Caenorhabditis elegans: one gene and its partner. The protein of the gene in region 1 purifies or fractionates together with the protein of each later gene. This does not show direct contact. Each region holds a gene or a part of one and is shown in the gene's direction. Other genes may lie near its edges.

Region 1 (9,026 bases):
CTGTGAAACTGCTGAAGGAAGCATTGAATCACGATTATGTTTTAGTGGAGAAAAAAACATTGAATTGTCAGCAGATGATAAGTTATCAGGAGCAGTATCAAAGCTATGGAATATGTCTTCATCACGAAATGAAAAATCATTTGATGCACACAAAATATCTTCATCGTCTTCTTCTGCTTCTTCTGATGCTTCCACATTTGAATATCCTTCACTGAAAAATAAATAATAATATTCCATTTGAAGGAGTAGAGGTTTTGGATTTTTTATTTGTTAAAATCTGAAATTCCGCCAAAATTGAATTAGCACTCTTTTTTGAATATTTTCAGTCGACAGACATCCAATACTGGAAATTTTTAGATTCAATTAAAAACTGCGAAACTTCAGATTTTCGCAACTTTTGGTTTTTTTTTTCAAAACTTTGGGCCACCAAAAACATTTTTTAAAGAAATTTCATTGCAGAAAACCAACAAACTATTTTTCTTCGATCTAGATTTCCTTATTATTTCCAACTTACAGACTATTGATGATAGTTCCTATATGTTCGGATTCAGTTGTATTAATGTATTCATAGTCAAATGGCAATGGAAAGAGAGCTTTCATATCTCGACGGGTTACTGTACTTTGCTTCATGGAAGATACTGGAGCTGTTGAGTAGAACGGGCTGAAATATTAAAACGTAATTTCAGAGTAATTTCATTTTTTAATCTTACCCATAACAAAGAAGACTATTGATTTTGGTTCTATATTTTTCAGTGACAACTTGAATTGCCTCATGAACATTATCATCGTGAGCAGCTGATGGTTGAAGACAGTGCTTCCACGCTTCGAACAATACTTGAACATCTTCCGATGAGTCTGAAATTAAACGAACCGCCTCGACGAGTTGTGAAGTGCGAAGGCGTGAAAGAGCAGCGACGGTTTTTCTGGAATGCCTTCGGACCGGTGAGAATTTGAAATCAAAGAAAAGAACAAACCCAGCACAAGCATCAACAATTGCTTTCCAACAATCTTTCTGACGCTTCGTGAGAGATAATTGTGAAGCAACAACTGGAGCTGATTTCATTGTCATTCCAGATTCTGTTGTAGTTGAGGCAACTGTAGATAATGTTACGATGTAAAGCTGAAAAAATGAAAAATTATTTTGAGTTTTAGAAGAAATATTGAATTTTATCACTCACTTTGACATCCAACATTGAGCATTCTGCACTTTTCATATACTCCTGTGCATTCAAAGTTGATGGAAGATTTGAGAAAAGCGATGAAAGAAATTCACTTTTCAACATTGATTTCTGAAATAAATAAAGCCACAGAAGAAGCCTCAGCGTCTGCTCATCGCCAAGATTTGATAAACTGAATTTCGATTCTGGAGTGATTATCGCGTTGAGGTCCATTTGTTCACTTGATACAATATCACGGGCAGCTCTGAAGAATGCAAGAAAATTGCAGAATTCTTTTGAAATTCTTACTCGAAAATCGAAGATTTTACGAACTGAAATCGACCGCTAGCTAACACCAAATCATCAACGATACTGTCAATGTTCTGAAAAAAAGACAGCTTATTCACTTGAAAATTAGACGAATAAATCTGAAAATATTACAAAAGCAAGGTCGATTCTGTAGTTTGTAAACTTGGCAAGATGAATTGAGCACTCTGAAATTATTTAATAATTTATTTTAATACATTTTATTTAAAATTCTCACCAATAACAACTCGATCAGCCCACTGCTGCATATGTATCTCCTCGATTTCATGTTCAGGACTCAAATCGGGAACAATCGATGAAGCGAGAAGTTGGGATAACTTGTAGAGTGTCGGTTGGTGATTTGGCTGAAATTATGAGATTTAAACAAAGAAAACTGGTTTTTATTTATTTATTTGAAGAAGTTTGAAGTTTTTTCTTCAGTGCTAACCTTTCCGAGCACACTGAGAATGTTTGCGGCGAGTTTCAGAAAAACTGAGAGAACGAGCTTCTGTAATCCGAATGTTGACTGATCTTCGGCCCGTTCGTAGAGAGAAACCAATCTGAAAAGCAAAATAAATATAAAATTAAGGCTAATTAAAAACCCACTCGTTCAGTGAATTTTGATATTGAGCCGTTGTTGGTGGATGCGATCGCAAAACTGATGAAATCTGATCATGCTCTTTTTGAAGACTTCGGAAAATTGTGGATGGAGAGAGAGTATTCTGAAAATAAAGTTAATTTTTTATTTATGTGGGCATATTAAATACCTTATCACCGAAGGATTCATTGAAACTGTCATTCGCCTTTTTGAGTGAAGCGGGAGACGAGAAAAGTGCCGAAAACGAATCGTTCAGCACCATTCTGTAATTTTTCTAAACAGTTTGAATATTTTGATTAGAAAATTCAAAAAAGAGCACAAAGAGATAATTTTTGTTTTAATTGATCAAATAAATTCACTTAGATTTTAATTTTTTAGAACTCGCAGCAGAAAAAAACTCAATTATATGTGCTATAATTACAGGTTCTCACAATTCCTTGTTTCCCTCTCAATCCGGATAATCCGCTCAGCTTCTAGCCTAGCAACCGGGACCTTCTCTTCGTTGCTACGAAAATGCTGTATCACATTCCTTCTTTTTGGATAATTACAAAGCTTCTACCCTTAGAATTTAGTGAAGTGTGAAAGTGCATAAAATCGAAAAATTATTTTTTTAATGAACTATTTCCTTTTTTTAGAGATATTCTGCTAATATGCAATTACTCAATCAATAAATATTCTGATCACGATGGCAAATCATCATGAGAGAGAGATTCTCTACATTGAAGAGAGTACGATATTTAAAGAGAATCATGAAGCATAAGGAAAAACGAAGAGACTCAGATAGTGAATAGTTTTGCGGACACCTATAGACGGTGCGCCTCTTTCGGTGACTGCATACAATACAATATTTGTTCTCTCTTTCTATTCCATTCTCCATCTCTTCCCGCACACCTTTCTTTTCCATTTTCAATCCATTCCCAATTTTTCTCTCCACTATCAGTTCGTTTCTCTGCTTCACTAGAAAGCCCTCTCACATCTCGACAGTCTATTACGGCTTCCACGTTTTGCCAGATGTTTTAGATTTAAGGGGCATCAAGATGACGCGTCATTATCTGATCTAAAACTTTATAAAAGTCTGAATAAACGATTTTTCTAATAATTTATACAATGACACGTATATTAAGAAACTTCCCTTTCAGTAACATATTTCAAAATACTTTCCTCCCGACTTTAATTTTTTAGGCTGTTTTTAAACTTGATCAACTCTATTAATAACACAGTGACATGAATTTTATATTTAAAATCCGAAAATATATCTTAATTACATGTTTTCAACTCTGCAACTTTTCGAATAGCAAACGAGACAAACAAATTTCCAAAATGTTTCGCCGTGAAAACTATTTCGAGTAATTTTAAAGTTCACGCGCTCACTATTCCACACATTCTCGACGTATTGTTTCAGATTTCCACGTTTACCGCTTTTAAAACATATATTAAAACATTTTGGAACAATTTTAAATTACAGGATTACCCAGAGAAATCGACATGTCGATTTCCGGTCTCTTCATCTTGGACCTCAAAGGAAATGTGAGTTTCACAATGATTTTTTGATAGGCAGGCGAGTTAAATATATGAATTTAGCACAGAAATAACTGTTTAGAACAAAATGAATGTTGTAAAAAAATAAAAATTCAGTAAATTTGAAGGAAAACCAACGAAAAATGAAAAAATCGAACGGAAATTTCCGGCGAAGCACTTCGTTTTTCAAAAAGTTCACTGTCGTAGTATTCTGTGCATCTGCACATTCGGCGCTTCGTTGTACGCGCAAACTTTTTTAGACAAGCACAGAAATACTGAAAAGCAGTCAAATATCAATCAAATTGAATGGAACCTCAAAACAAAACATCCTAAAAATTATTTTTAAAGGTAGTAATATCGAGGAATTACCGCGGAGATGTGGATATGTCGTGTATCGAAAAGTTTATGCCACTGTTGGTTGAAAAGGAAGACGAAGGAAGTGCATCTCCAGTATTAGTGCATCAAGGAATTAGTTATACATATATTAAATATATGAATGTTTACTGTAAGTTTCAACTTTTGAAAAAATAATCCTACACAAAGATTAAAATAAAAGATTTTCAGTGGTGACGATTTCGAAGAAAAACACGAATGTGATTCTTGTATTGTCGGCTCTTTACAAAATTGTCGAGGTTTTCTGCGAATATTTCAAAACATTGGAGGAAGAAGCTGTTCGCGATAATTTCGTTATTATTTATGAACTTTTCGACGAAATGCTCGATTTTGGATATCCACAGACAACGGAGAGCAAGATTCTTCAAGAGTGAGTTATTAAAAAAGCGATGAAGAGGCGCCTAAAGGATTTTAGGATCTAGATGAAGTACCTACACCTAGATTTCATTCACAACTATTTTAAAATTTCAGATTCATAACACAACAAGGTAATCGTTTGGAGACAGTTCGTCCACCCATGGCAGTCACAAACGCGGTTTCATGGAGATCAGAAGGGATCAAATATCGGAAAAATGAAGTTTTTCTCGATGTTATTGAAAGTGTTAATATGCTGGTGAGCTGTTAATATTTTTATAGTTATACTTCCGAAACAAAGTCCCGTTTTAAAAAGCCTAATAACCAAATTTCTAGGCAAATGCTCAAGGAACCGTACTCCGTTCAGAAATCGTTGGTTCAATTCGATTCCGTGTTGTTCTTTCTGGAATGCCGGAACTTCGACTTGGACTTAATGACAAGGTGTTCTTCCAGCAATCTGGTGCAAGTTCTAGTAAGTGTTGAAATTGTAAAATAGTATCAAATATTGAATTGTAGGACGTGGTAACAGTGGAAAAGGAGTCGAATTGGAAGATATCAAATTCCATCAATGTGTCCGTTTATCTCGCTTTGATTCCGAAAGAACCATTTCTTTTATTCCACCGGATGGAGAATTTGAGCTGATGAGTTATCGATTGACAACACAAGTTAAACCATTGATTTGGGTTGAGGCTGCAGTTGAGAGACATGCACATTCAAGAGTTGAATATATGGTTAAAGTGATTACTTTCACTTCCAAATTATGAATTATAGAATCTCTACTTTCCAGGCGAAATCTCAATTCAAACGTCAATCTGTTGCCAATCATGTCGAAGTTATTATCCCTGTTCCATCCGACGTCAGTGCTCCAAAATTTAAAACTGGAGCAGGTACAGCAAAATATGTTCCAGAGCTTAATGCTATTGTTTGGAGTATTCGAAGCTTCCCAGGTGAGCATCAAGTCAGAAATATTTTCAAATAGTTTACTATAGTTTTAAATATTTTATTGAAAACTTTAACTTTGATGCTTCAGTCAGCTCAATAGAAATGTTATGCATATTTGTTGGAAAACTGTTCAATACAGAAAAAAAATTCTGTCCGAAATTTTTTTTTTCTATATTATCTTTACCTTTGGTATAGTTATCTTAACTTTTAATAACATTGTTGAATTGTTCCAGGAGGCCGTGAATATATAATGAGATCTTCGTTCATGCTCCCATCAATTGGCTCCGAAGAGCTGGAAGGCCGTCCGCCAATCAATGTTAAATTTGAAATTCCTTACTACACAACTTCCGGACTACAAGTAAGTCGTTAACTCTAGTTTCAATTATTCAACATATTCTTCCAGGTTCGATATTTAAAAATCATAGAGAAATCTGGATATCAAGCACTTCCATGGGTACGATATGTTACTCAAAACGGAGATTATCAAATGAGAATGACCTAATAAGAAGCTTTCTGTTCCCAATATCCTTCAAGCCACCTTCAAGCCAAAACAGTCATCCCTGTAATTTTTGTTCTATTCAATTCCCCCGCCATTCGGTCCCTTGGGTGCCTTATATTTTTTTTTTAATGTTTAATTTTATTCCGAGAGAGAAAAAAACTAGTAATTTATTAACTGTGATATTGTCTTTTGTTGCTCTTTTCAACGCTTTTCATCCCCTGGTTTCTTGTATCTTTCCTTTTTTTTGTTCGTTTTTCAGAGTTATTTATTGAATTCGGAGTTAAATATAAACAAAGTTTCCGATAAGAACTTGAGTTTTTAAAGTTAAAGTCTATGTTACAAGGCCAAGGATTACAAAATCCTTCATTTCCAGTTTCAGGTATGCATTGAAGTTTCAACTTCAAATGAAAAAGAGCGGCCGTTTCATCAACAAATTAAAAAAAATTGAACTTCATTTGTACTCTCCACATCAAAAATTAAACCAATTAATCAAAAGTTTGTACTTTTTATAGGCAAATATGTACACTGAGTCCATTGATAATTTGGTGGATACGGTGGACAATCACAGTAGTAACGAGCCGTTGGGCCGACGTAATCAACGAATTGAGCAACTGAAAATTGTATGGGTTAACTGAAATTGTGTAGCATTTAATCTAACCTCTACAGTATCCTTGAGGCTGATAACCATATCCACCTCCTCCGCCATATCCACCACGCCTCCCAAATCCGAAAAGTAGACCCAGGAGTCCTGGACCGCGTGGTCGTCCCCAGCCGCTAAAATTTAGAATTTTTTTTTTGATTTTTTGGATGATCTAAAAACGGAAACATAAATGCATATTGCAAATTTTTACATCAAAGTTAAAGATTCAACGCCGTCGAAGTTCATCTGAAAGTATCTTCTAGAAAAAAATAGCTCACCCATAGTAATTATTTCTGTTATAATACGTTGGATGCCAACTAGAACCGGAGCTTTCATGACTATGCGAGTTATGCCATCCACTACCTCCTCTTCCACCTCCCCATCCACCTCTTCCACGTCCTTCACCCCATCCTCCACGTCCTCCACCTCGCCCGCCTCCCCAGCCGCCTCCGCGGCCTCCGCCACCGCGACCGCCACCTCCACCTCTTCCGCCGCCACCTCGACCACCACCACCTCGGCTCCCGCCGCCACCACGACCACCGCCTCGTTGAGCATCAGATTCAACTGAAAAAAAAAAGAATTCCTTGAGAGTTTTGGTTTGTGAGAAAAGACTGACATTGGGCTTAAGGCCCTGGCTGGCATATAAAGAAATCTAACTACTGTAGCCCTACAGTTCGGTAAGGAACACCGAGAGAAAATCAAAACATACAAAAAAACGTTCGAAAGTTACTCCAAACGGTTTTAAAAACTTAAATGCTAGAGTAAATAGCGATTCTTATAAAGTAATTGCCCTAGGAGTTTCAAAACTGCGAAATTTTTTATGTTGAAAAAAAAAAATTCAATCAGATATAATATATAAACCTCAAAAACCGAATTCGTTCAAGCTACACTTACCAACAAAATAGGCTAAACAATTAAGAAGCATACATAATAAAATACTCCTACGCATGGTCTTTTGATCTAGTTTTTCACAATGGTCAGTCAACTTTTATAGGGTAGCTGCGATGTATTGATTTGACGAATTCCCGCGAGGAACTTAATTTTCTGATTTAGCGAAAACCAAACCATTTGGTCATCTCTCTAGGCTTGTTTTTAGATGAGTGATCAAATCAGATAGAGAAGAATGCGGTATAGTTTGATCTTGACCGCCTATTGTCGGAAGATTTTTGAATTGAAAAAAATTTAATTAAGTTTTGATAGAAAAGGTTCAACTTTTCAATTTTCGTTTAGGTCGAAATGTTATTTCTGTTGTAGTTTTGATTTAGTGTTGAGAGATAACTGTTGAAAACAGAAAATTATTAAAGTTTATTCAAAATTCCTACCAAATATCCTTGAGTTTTCCAATAACTTTCTTATTACTCGACTTGGGAAACTCTGGGCGTGGTTGGCAAGAGTTGGGGAAGAAGCTGCAATATAAATAAATAACTGAATGAGTTTTTCTTCAATAATCGGCTCAATAGAATTAAAGCAACAGTTTGAAGATATTTTCAGAAAATTTTCAAAAATATCTCTGGCATAGTTTTTTCTAGGCTATTTGCGTTTAAACGATTTGTACAAGGATACTTTTGTGAAGTTCAATAGGAAAAGGTTTATTGTTACTTCATTCTAGTTATATCTGCATTCTTCAATTAGAATCAATTTTTTAAAATCATTTCTTTCCGTAGTAACCAGACATTGGAGAACACTGATTCCATTGATAATTTGGTGCATATGGCGGGCAATCACAGTAGTAACGAGGCGTTGAGCCAACATAATCCACAAATTGTGCAACTGAAACTTTTAAAATTGAATGGGAAACTAAAATATTCAATTGTCTAACCTCTACAGTAACTTTGACCTTGGTTATAGTTGTAATATCCTCTATTTCCTCCATAATAGTTATTTCCATTGTAATATTGGTTGTAGTAGCCGTTGCCACCATATCCTCCATTATATTGATTGTAATAGCCATTACCATATCCATTACCGTAACCATTACCGTAGTATCCATTACCATAATATCCATTATTGTATCCATTACCGTAGTACCCATTACCGTAAACATTGTTATATCCTATTTGTTGTCTATTTCCAAAAAGTAATCCAAGAACTCCTGCGGCACGTGCTCTTCCTCGGACGCTGAATATCGGATATATGAAGAAAGTTTTTGACATTTTCAGTACGAAAAAAGAGCTAGGAATAACAAACTCACACAGTTCTATTTTTGGATTGATTAGATACTGGTTGGAGCGAAGATACAGAAATTCCTTTTCGATTTGCGTTATACCCGTTACCACGTACATGTGTAACTTTAACATTGTTATACTGAATATTGCCATCCTCTTGCAAAGCATTAAGTTCAACTGGAAATAACTTGTTACGTGCTCCTCCAAATGAATTCCGTAAACTCCCAGAAACCCTAGTATCCCTAAAGAAAGAATAGAACTAAACTGGCCCCTGTTCTGTAATATCTGACAAGGAAAGAAAGTTAAAGAAACTTTGAGGCTTCAAAACGAAAAGCAAATTGATTGAAAGCTAAGACTTGTTCACCACAAAAATTATAGCGGCGGAACTAAACTCTGAACCCCTGAAATAGAGATCCGAAATATTTTTTTCGGTGCATTTTTATCCACGAATTTT
Region 2 (8,683 bases), 9.1 Mb from region 1:
CCAGCTGCAAATAGGTCAGGCATTGTTGGATGTGGAGTTATCGACATTGGAAGTCCCGTTGTTCCTGTGTTGTCTGGAAATTATATTATTGATTTTTTTAAAATTTTCTTGTATTTTAAAAGTTTCGTTATCACGTACTTATTATTACGGGAACACTGAATTCTGAGAATGCGTACGGGACAACACATTTGACGTGCAAATAGGTTTGGGGTTAGTGGTGGGATATGGTCGGGGTACTGTAGGAGTACTGTAGGAGTACTGTAGGATTACTGTAGTTTAGGAAGAATTGAGTTTTTGTCTTTTGAAGAGATATAGGTTTGCGGTTAGTGGTGGGATATGGTCGGGGTACTGTAGTAGTACTGTAGGAGTACTGTAAGAGTACTATAGGATTACTGTAGTTTGGGAAAAATTGACTTTCCGTCTTCGGAAGGGAAATTGGAAACTTCGGGAAAATTCTGAAATGTTCCAGAACCTTCTGGGAATCCTTCTGGGAATTTCTGGAAAATTCTAGAATGTTCCAGAACCTTCTGGAAAATTCTGAAAAGCTTTAGAACCTTCTGGAAAACTCTAGAATGTTCCAGAACTTTCTAGAAAAATCGAGAAAATTCTGGAATGTTCCAGAACTTTCTAGAAAAATCGAGAAAATTCTGGAGTGACCCTTCGTGGTGAAACCCATCGTGGCGAGACCCATCGAGGTGAGACCCATCGTGGTGAGACCCGTCGTGGTGAGACCCACCGTGGTAAGACCCAAAATTTTGGCGGGAAATTTAAATTTTCTGCGAAAAATGTTTTAGCGGGAAATTTAAATTTTCTGAAAAAAATATTTTGGAGGGAAATTTAAATTTTCTGAAAAAATATTTTGGAGGGAAATTTAAATTTTCTGTGAAAAATATTTTGGCGGGTAATTTAAATTTTCGGAGAAAAAAATTTTGGAGGGAAATTTAAATTTTCTGAGAAAAATATTTTGGCGGGAAATTTAAATTTTCTCAAAATTCTAAAATTCTGGAAATCTAGAATCTTCTAGAAATTTCGAAAAAATTCTGGAATGTTCCAGAACTTTCTAGAAAAATCGAGAAAATTCTGGAAGTGTATGTGTGTCAAATACTTTTAATGGTGCCAGTCGTTGCCCGCGCCGTAGGCGCGGTCAGCGGCTGGTTATATATATATATATATATATAACCATCATCGAGCCCGTAGATCGAGATAATCGCTACAGTACCTATTTAAAGAATTACTGTAGTTTTCGCTACGAGATATATAGATATGTCAAATATGTTGTCCCATACGCATTCTCAGAATTTTCAGTTTCTGTAATACTTACGTCACAATAATTTTTCAGGCAAAAAATTTGTAAAACTCTGGAAAATCCTATTTTAGATAAAATTTCTTTGCTCACAATCATTATCAAATGACTTGATATGTTGAATAGCGTCGCCTGTATATTCGATATCCCAGATTTGAAATTTGTTCTTGAATCCGCCTATCAATGAGCTTCCACTTTGTCCGATGCTCATCGCCGCAGTGATATTGTCCTGCAAATATATTGAATTTTTTGTTTAATTTGGTGAAAATACGGGAAATTTTGACTTAAAAATCACTAAAAACGGTTGAAAATCGATTTTGGGTGAGGCTTAGACTACAAACTACAACTTTTTTAGCCTCAACCAGAATTGGTTGAGGCTCAGAAAATTGTAGTTTGTAGTCTAACTTTTATTGATTGTTTTTTATATAAATTTTAAGGGAAATTTTTTTAAAATGTTAAATTCTGAAACTTATCAAATTTGCAGAAAAACGACTATACTACAAACTACAAAATGGTTGAGGCTCAAAAAGTTGTAGTTTGTAGTCTCGAAATGAATTAATAGGCGAAGATTTTAATTTTTCGTGGTTTTTCGAGTTTTTGGCACAAATTTGATTAAAAAGCAGCTTTAATTTGAAAAAAAGTGAAACATTTCTTTTAGAGACTACAAACTACAACTTTTTCAGCCTCACCCAATATTGGTTGAGGCTCAGAAAATTGTAGTTTGTAGTCTGAGCCTCAATCAATGCATTTTTGTTTAAAAAATTAGCAATTTTCAGTTATTTTTAGAGGTTTTTGGCACAAATTTGATTAAAAAACAGATTTTAATTGAAAAAAAAGTGAAAAATTACTTTTAAAGACTACAAACTACAACTATTTTTAGCCTCACCCAATATTGGTTGGGGCTCAGAAAATTGTAGTTTGTAGTCTCTGAGCCTCAACCAATTTTTTTTGGATTTTTATGTAAAAATGTCAATTTTTAAGCATTTTTTTTTCGTTTTTTTTTTTGCAAAAAAAAAAACCAACCCCAGCATCTTTTCCATTATAAGCACCGAGAATACTTCCATTTTCCGTATCAAATAGCTGAATTGGACGCAGTTTTGACGACGAGAACACCCCTTTTCCAGAGTTTTCCCAACAAGAATCCAGCACCAAATTTCCCGTATTATGCTTCCATATCACTTCTGGCTGCAATTTTTAGCGTTATTTTACAGAAATTTTGGAAGAAAAACCGACAGTTTCATCTATTTTATACATTCTTATAAATCTATCCTGTGAAGCCACAAGAGCCCGGTTTCCCTGTTCATTTTGAATGGAAAAGTGCACAAAATTATTATTTTCCGTTGATTTATAGCCGAATTGAGCGTTGTACGAGTTGAAAGTGGCTTTATCGCTGAAAATTTCAGATTTTTTGACTTAAAATTCGAATTTTCAGATACCAAAATGTATTTTTAAGATTTGTGGGGATTTCGGCGATTTCTACAGGTTCTTGAGCTTTTTTCTTGACTTCTTGGTCAATTTCCTGCATTCTCTGGAGTTTTCGCTTCTCTTTTCGATTTAATGGGCGGTTTTCTGGGATTTCTTCGGGAATTTCTTCTGAAGCAGCAGCCTCTGTGGTCGATAGCTCATCGATTTTCGACGCAAGATGGTCACTGCGGAGCTAAAAAGCAAGCGGTTTTTCTTTGGAAAACAAGTGAAATTTAATTACCGAAGACAAAAGCGACGCTATCCCGCATCTTTCAGCGCGGAGAGACGGTTTTTTCTCCTCCAATTCTTGTGAGGACGACGATTCTTCGGTGTTCATCTGGAAAAAATCGATTTTTTTGGCGAAAAGTTCAAGTTTCAGTGATTTTTAATCGAAAAATTGAAAAAAGAAAAAAAACAAAAATTAAATTCCCCCTACTACGGTCTGCAATCGGGTACCTCCACACCAGACCTCACGCGCAATTGCGGACTCGCCCCCTGCGTTGGATTGTAAAATGCAAAAAATCAATAAAATTGCAGTGTTGTCACTGATTTTTCAGCTTTTTCTAGTGGATTTTCGTGATTTTTTGATTAAAAAATTCATTTTTTCACTAATAAGCGTCGTTTATTTCACTTATTCCACTTACTTTCACTGCTGAGCTGTAAAAAAAACTAAAAAACTCCAAAAAAAACGTCAAAAAATGAGGAATTTTTGCAGGGTGAGGCTCCAAGGATGGCGACGGCTGTCGAGCTAGCCATTGAGAAGATCGATGAGTATAAGTCGAAGATTGGAAGGTTTGTAACATTAAAAAACTCAAATTTTTGCGAAATTTCCCCAGTAAATTCTATTTTTTCAGAACTCTCGGCACTCCGATGCGGCTTCGAGACCTAATTCGGCAGGTCAGAGCGGCACGAACGATGGCTGAAGAGCGAGCAGTGGTGGATAGAGAAAGTGCGAATATTCGAGAAAGCTTCCGAGACGATGATTCTCCGTGGAAATGTAGAAATATCGCGAAATTGCTCTATATTCATATGCTCGGCTACCCAGCGCATTTTGGACAGGTTATTGAACCGTTTTTCGCCGGAAATTAAATTATTTGTTATTCAGATGGAGTGCATGAAACTGGTGGCTCACCCCCGATTCACTGACAAACGAATTGGGTATCTTGGAGCTATGCTTCTTCTCGATGAACGATCGGAAGTTCATATGCTCGTCACTAATTCGCTTAAAAAGTTAGCAAAAACCCATGAAAATGAAAAAATCTTGTTTAAAAGCTTTTTTTCTGCGATTTTTCTCATCAAAATTTGATTTTTTGAAGAAAAAGCAATTTTTAAAGGATTTTCAATGCAAAAATGAGATTTTACAGTAAAAAATGCTATAGAAAACAAAAAAATCCGAAGAATTATTATTTTGGTTGAGGCGTAGACTACAAACTACAACTTTTTTAGCCTCAACCAGCAGCTTTGGGGAGGCTGACAAAAGTTGTAGTTTGTAGCCTAAGCCTCAACCAAGATTTTTAACTTGATTTTGCTCATTTTTAGTGATTTTTCATCAATTTTTACTATTTTTCGAGCTAAAATTAGTGAATTTGGTTCTAAAAACTGGAATTTTTGCTTTAAAATTCACGATTTTGCTAGAAATCCAAATATAAAACGATTTCTTCCAACTTTGGTGAGGCTGACAGAAAGTTGTAGTTTGTAGTCTTAGCCTCAACTAATATTTTGCTCATTTTCAATGTTTTTCATCGAATTTTCACTATTTTTCGACGAAATAATAGAGAAATTGGTTGTAAAATCCGGAAATTGAGCAAAAAAGGTGAAAATTTTGCTAAAAATCCAAATTTTAAACGATTTGTTTTCCAATTTGGTGAGGCTGACAGAAGTTGTAGTTTGTAGCCTGAGCCTCAACTAATATTTTGCTCATTTTCAATGTTTTTCATCGAATTTTCACTATTTTTCGATACAATAAAAGCAAAAAATCCCAATTTCCGCGGAAAACTCTATTTTTTAAAACTAAATTCTTCATTTCCAGCGACCTCACCTGTTCCACCCAATTCGTCAGCGGACTAGCTCTCTGCACTCTGGGCTCAATTTGCTCAGCGGAAATGTGTCGAGACCTGGCCAACGAGGTTGAGAAGATCATCAAGCAGAACAATGCGTATTTAAAGAAAAAAGCGGCGCTCTGTGCGTTCCGTATCGTTCGAAAAGTGCCGGAGCTGATGGAAGTCTTCATTCCATGTACCCGATCGCTTCTGGGAGAGAAAAATCACGGAGTTTTGATGGGCGCAACGACTTTGGTCACAGAAATGTGCGAGAAATCTCCGGATGTCTTGAATCATTTTAAGAAATTGGTGCCGAATTTGGTACGGATTCTAAAGAATCTTCTAATGAGTGGATATTCGCCGGAACACGACGTCACCGGCATCTCTGACCCGTTCCTTCAGGTCAAAATTCTGAGATTATTGAGAGTTTTGGGGAAGGATGACGTACGTGTCACTGAAGAGATGAATGATATTCTGGCGCAAGTGGCAACGAATACGGAAACGGCGAAAAATGTCGGAAACGCGATTCTCTATGAGACTGTACTCACGATTATGGAGATTAAGAGCGAGAGTGGCCTGCGCATTTTGGCTGTGAACATTCTTGGACGATTCCTTTTGAATACGGATAAGAATATTCGATATGTGGCGTTGAATACGCTTCTGAAGACTGTTCATGTTGATTATCAGGTTGGATTTTGTGGAAAAAAAAAAAAGGAAAAAATGGCGATTTTGGCTCAAAAATTGAGGTTTTGGCGGTGGGTTGAGGCTGAAAAAGTGTGTAGTTTGTAGTGTGAGAGCCTCAACTAAATTTATTTCATTTTATTTCTGTTGTTAATTTTAATAGAATTTTTTAAAAAATTATTCTGATGAGTTTTCAAAATGAAAATCGCATGTTTTAGTAAAAATTGTCGAGAAAAACAAGTTTTTCAACGAATTTTCGAATTTTGTAGCTTGGTTGAGGCTCACACACTACAAACTACACTTTTTCTAGCCTCAACCAAATTTGGGGAGGCTGTGGAGTTGTAGTTTGTATTGTGAGCCTCACTCAATTTCAGTTCATTTTTTGTTTATTTTAACAGAATTTTGAAAATTCAGTTTTCAACATGAAAATCGCCTAAAACTTGTCCGGAAAACCAAGTTTTTTGACAAATTTGCAGCTTGGTTGAGGCTCACGCACTACAAACTACACTTTTTCTAGCCTCAACCAGATTTGATGAGGCTGTGGAGTTGTAGTTTGTAGTGTGAGCCTCAACCAAATTTATTTTTAGTTTTCTATTCCGTTTTCGACGTGAAACTTAGCTTTTTAGTAAAATTTTGCCTAAAAAATCAGTTTTTCAATAAATTATTCCATTTTGCAGCTCAAACTGTGTAAATAATAATTGGTTGAGGCTTACACTACAAACTACACTTTTTCTAGCCTCAACCAAGTTTTTAGAGGCTGTGGAGTTGTAGTTTGTAGTGGGAGCCTCATTCAATTTCATTTTTTTCCGTTTTGAACGTGAAACTTAGCTTTTTTAGTACAATTTTCCCCCCAAAAAAACCCAGTTTTTCATAAAATTTCATATTTTGCAGGCCAAACTGTCCAAGTGATAATTGGTTGAGGCTCACGCACTGCAAACTACACTTTTTCTAGCCTCAACCAAGTTTGGGGAGGCTGAAGAAATGTGTAGTTTGTAGTGTGAGCCTCAACCAATTTCAGTTCATTTTCTGTTTATTTTATTAAAATTTTTCCGTTTAATACAAAATTTTCAATTTTATGATGAGTTTTCCACATGGAAATCACCTAATTTAATGAAAATTGTCCGGAAAATCAAGTTTTTCAACGAATTTTTGAATTTTGTAGCTTGATTGAGGCTCACGCACTACAAACTACACTTTTTCTAGCCTCAACCAGATTTGATGAGGCTGTGGAGTTGTAGTTTGTAGTGTGAGCCTCACTCAATTTTTTATATTAAGAATTTTTGGAAACTTTAAATTCCTTTTTTAAATTCAAATTTTACGTTTTCTATCGAGCTTTAACAATAAATTTTTTTTAGTTTATAGACTACAAACTACACATTTTATAGCCTCAACCATTTTTTAAAAAGAAATTTCTAATCAGTTTTAACCTAAAAATATATAATTTTCTCCCGAGTTTTTTTTGTTAATTTCAATGTTTTTTTCAGGCCGTACAACGTCACCGTAACGTAGTCGTTGAATGTCTCAAAGATCCGGATATTTCGATCAGAAAACGTGCAATGGAGCTCTGCTTTGCTCTGATGAACCGTACAAATATCGCAATAATGACGAAAGAAGTGCTCATTTTCCTCGAGACCGCCGACGCTGAATTCAAATCGGAATGTGCTTCACGAATGTATATTGCAACGGAAAGATATTCGCCGAATCATGAATGGCATTTGGATACGATGATTACTGTACTTAGATTGGTACGGTAGTTTTTTTGGATAAATTTCCTTGAAAAAATGGATAAAATTGGCGAAATTTGGCTCTAAAAGTCCAAAAAACTAGAAATCTCACGAAAAATCGAAGCAGACTACAAACTACAATATTTTGGGCCTCAACCAGAATTGGTTGAGGCTCAGAAAATTGTAGTTTGTAGTCTAACTTTTATTGATTGTCTTTTATATAAATTTTACGGGAAATTTTTTTTAAATGTTAAATTCCGAAACTTATCAAATTTGCAGAAAAACGACTATACTACAAACTACAAAATGGTTGAGGCTCAAAAAGTTGTAGTTTGTAGTCTCTCGAAATGAATTAATAGGCGAAAATTTTGATTTTTCGTGGTTTTTCGAGTTTTTAATTGTAAAAATGAGGAAAATTATCCGATATTGTAGAAAAAATCGAATAATTTTTAGATTTTCCTGACCTTTTTGAAATTAAAACTTCATATCCGAAAAATGAGAAAAAAATCAATTTTGGTTGAGGCTAGTGGCTACAAACTACAATTTTGCAAAGCTAGAATTACGGAAATTTGTCCCAAATCATTTTTTTTTTTGAATTAATTTTGAATTCTTCCCGCGCAAATTAAACACACAATACGTATTTTATGACTTTTTTCCTTTAAAAAATTGAAAAAAAATGCCGACATAAATTGGGTGAGGCTCACACTACAAACTACAAAAACGCTGAGCCTCAACCAATTTTTTTGTAAATTTTTAAATGCCGCATTTTTGTGTTTTTTTTTTTGCTTTCTTTAATAATATGTCTTTGAAATCAAAATAAATTTGTAAATCCCGAAAATTTAGAAAAAATTGCTGAAAACTCACATTTTTTGGCCGAAAAGCTATCTTTTTAATGATAAGAGTTGCGATTTTTCTCACACTACAAACTACAAAAACGCTGAGCCTCAACCTATTTTTTTTTCCAAATTTTTAAATAGCGCATTTTTGTGTTTTTTATTTTTTTTTCTTAAAGAATATGTCTTTGAAATTAAAATAAATTAGTAAGTACCCAAAATTTGGAGAAAAAATTCCTAAAAACACACATTTTTGGCCCAAAAACTACTTTTTTAGTGCTAGAAGCTTTGAAAATGCCAAAAGTTCAGAAAAAAAAGTTTTTTTTAAATCGATTTTTGTCAAAAAAAAAATTCGCAAAACGCGTATTTCAGTTTTTTTTGCCGAAAATTATGAAAAATGTTGAAAAATAAATGTCAATTTTTTTTAATTTTCGAAAAATTTAGAAAAATTTTTTAAATTTTTCTCACAATTATATTCGATGCATTTTTTTTTTTCAAAAATTCTGAATTTTCATTCATTTTGTAACGATTTTTTGTTTAATTTACCAAAAAAAAAATTATTAAAAATGTGATTTTACTAGAAAAAACGCCGACAAAAATTGGTTGAGGCTCACACTACAAACTACAAAATCGCTGAGC

Evidence for each region.
Region 2: the proteins of apm-1 (region 1) and apg-1 fractionate together in Caenorhabditis elegans (co-fractionation; one large-scale study listed by BioGRID). This does not show direct contact.

Annotation. Positions count from the first base shown.
Region 1 is NC_003279.8:5,339,225-5,348,250, reverse strand, and holds apm-1 (MHD domain-containing protein), read left to right. Parts: upstream 1-3,526; 5' UTR 3,527-3,546; coding exon 3,547-3,588; intron 3,589-3,596; exon of another isoform or gene 3,597-3,818; intron 3,819-3,927; coding exon 3,928-4,084; intron 4,085-4,143; coding exon 4,144-4,342; intron 4,343-4,443; coding exon 4,444-4,585; intron 4,586-4,662; coding exon 4,663-4,798; intron 4,799-4,842; coding exon 4,843-5,063; intron 5,064-5,113; coding exon 5,114-5,273; intron 5,274-5,501; coding exon 5,502-5,626; intron 5,627-5,671; coding exon 5,672-5,770; 3' UTR 5,771-6,071; downstream 6,072-9,026. Other genes in the region: F55A12.5 (Telomere_reg-2 domain-containing protein), read right to left, coding at 1-211, 515-661, 711-932, 975-1,120, 1,179-1,422, 1,467-1,540, 1,599-1,651, 1,702-1,828 and 3 more; F55A12.18 (Glycine-rich protein DOT1-like), read right to left, coding at 6,257-6,378, 6,426-6,541, 6,686-6,971, 7,302-7,356; F55A12.6 (Prion-like-(Q/N-rich)-domain-bearing protein), read right to left, coding at 8,056-8,177, 8,227-8,525, 8,599-8,749.
Region 2 is NC_003279.8:14,402,546-14,411,228, forward strand, and holds the start of apg-1 (AP-1 complex subunit gamma), read left to right. Parts: upstream 1-3,482; 5' UTR 3,483-3,497; coding exon 3,498-3,559; intron 3,560-3,621; coding exon 3,622-3,826; intron 3,827-3,872; coding exon 3,873-3,997; intron 3,998-4,796; coding exon 4,797-5,493; intron 5,494-6,971; coding exon 6,972-7,232; intron 7,233-8,683. Other genes in the region: tcab-1 (WD_REPEATS_REGION domain-containing protein), read right to left, coding at 1-73, 1,397-1,532, 2,327-2,488, 2,537-2,693, 2,740-2,960, 3,009-3,104.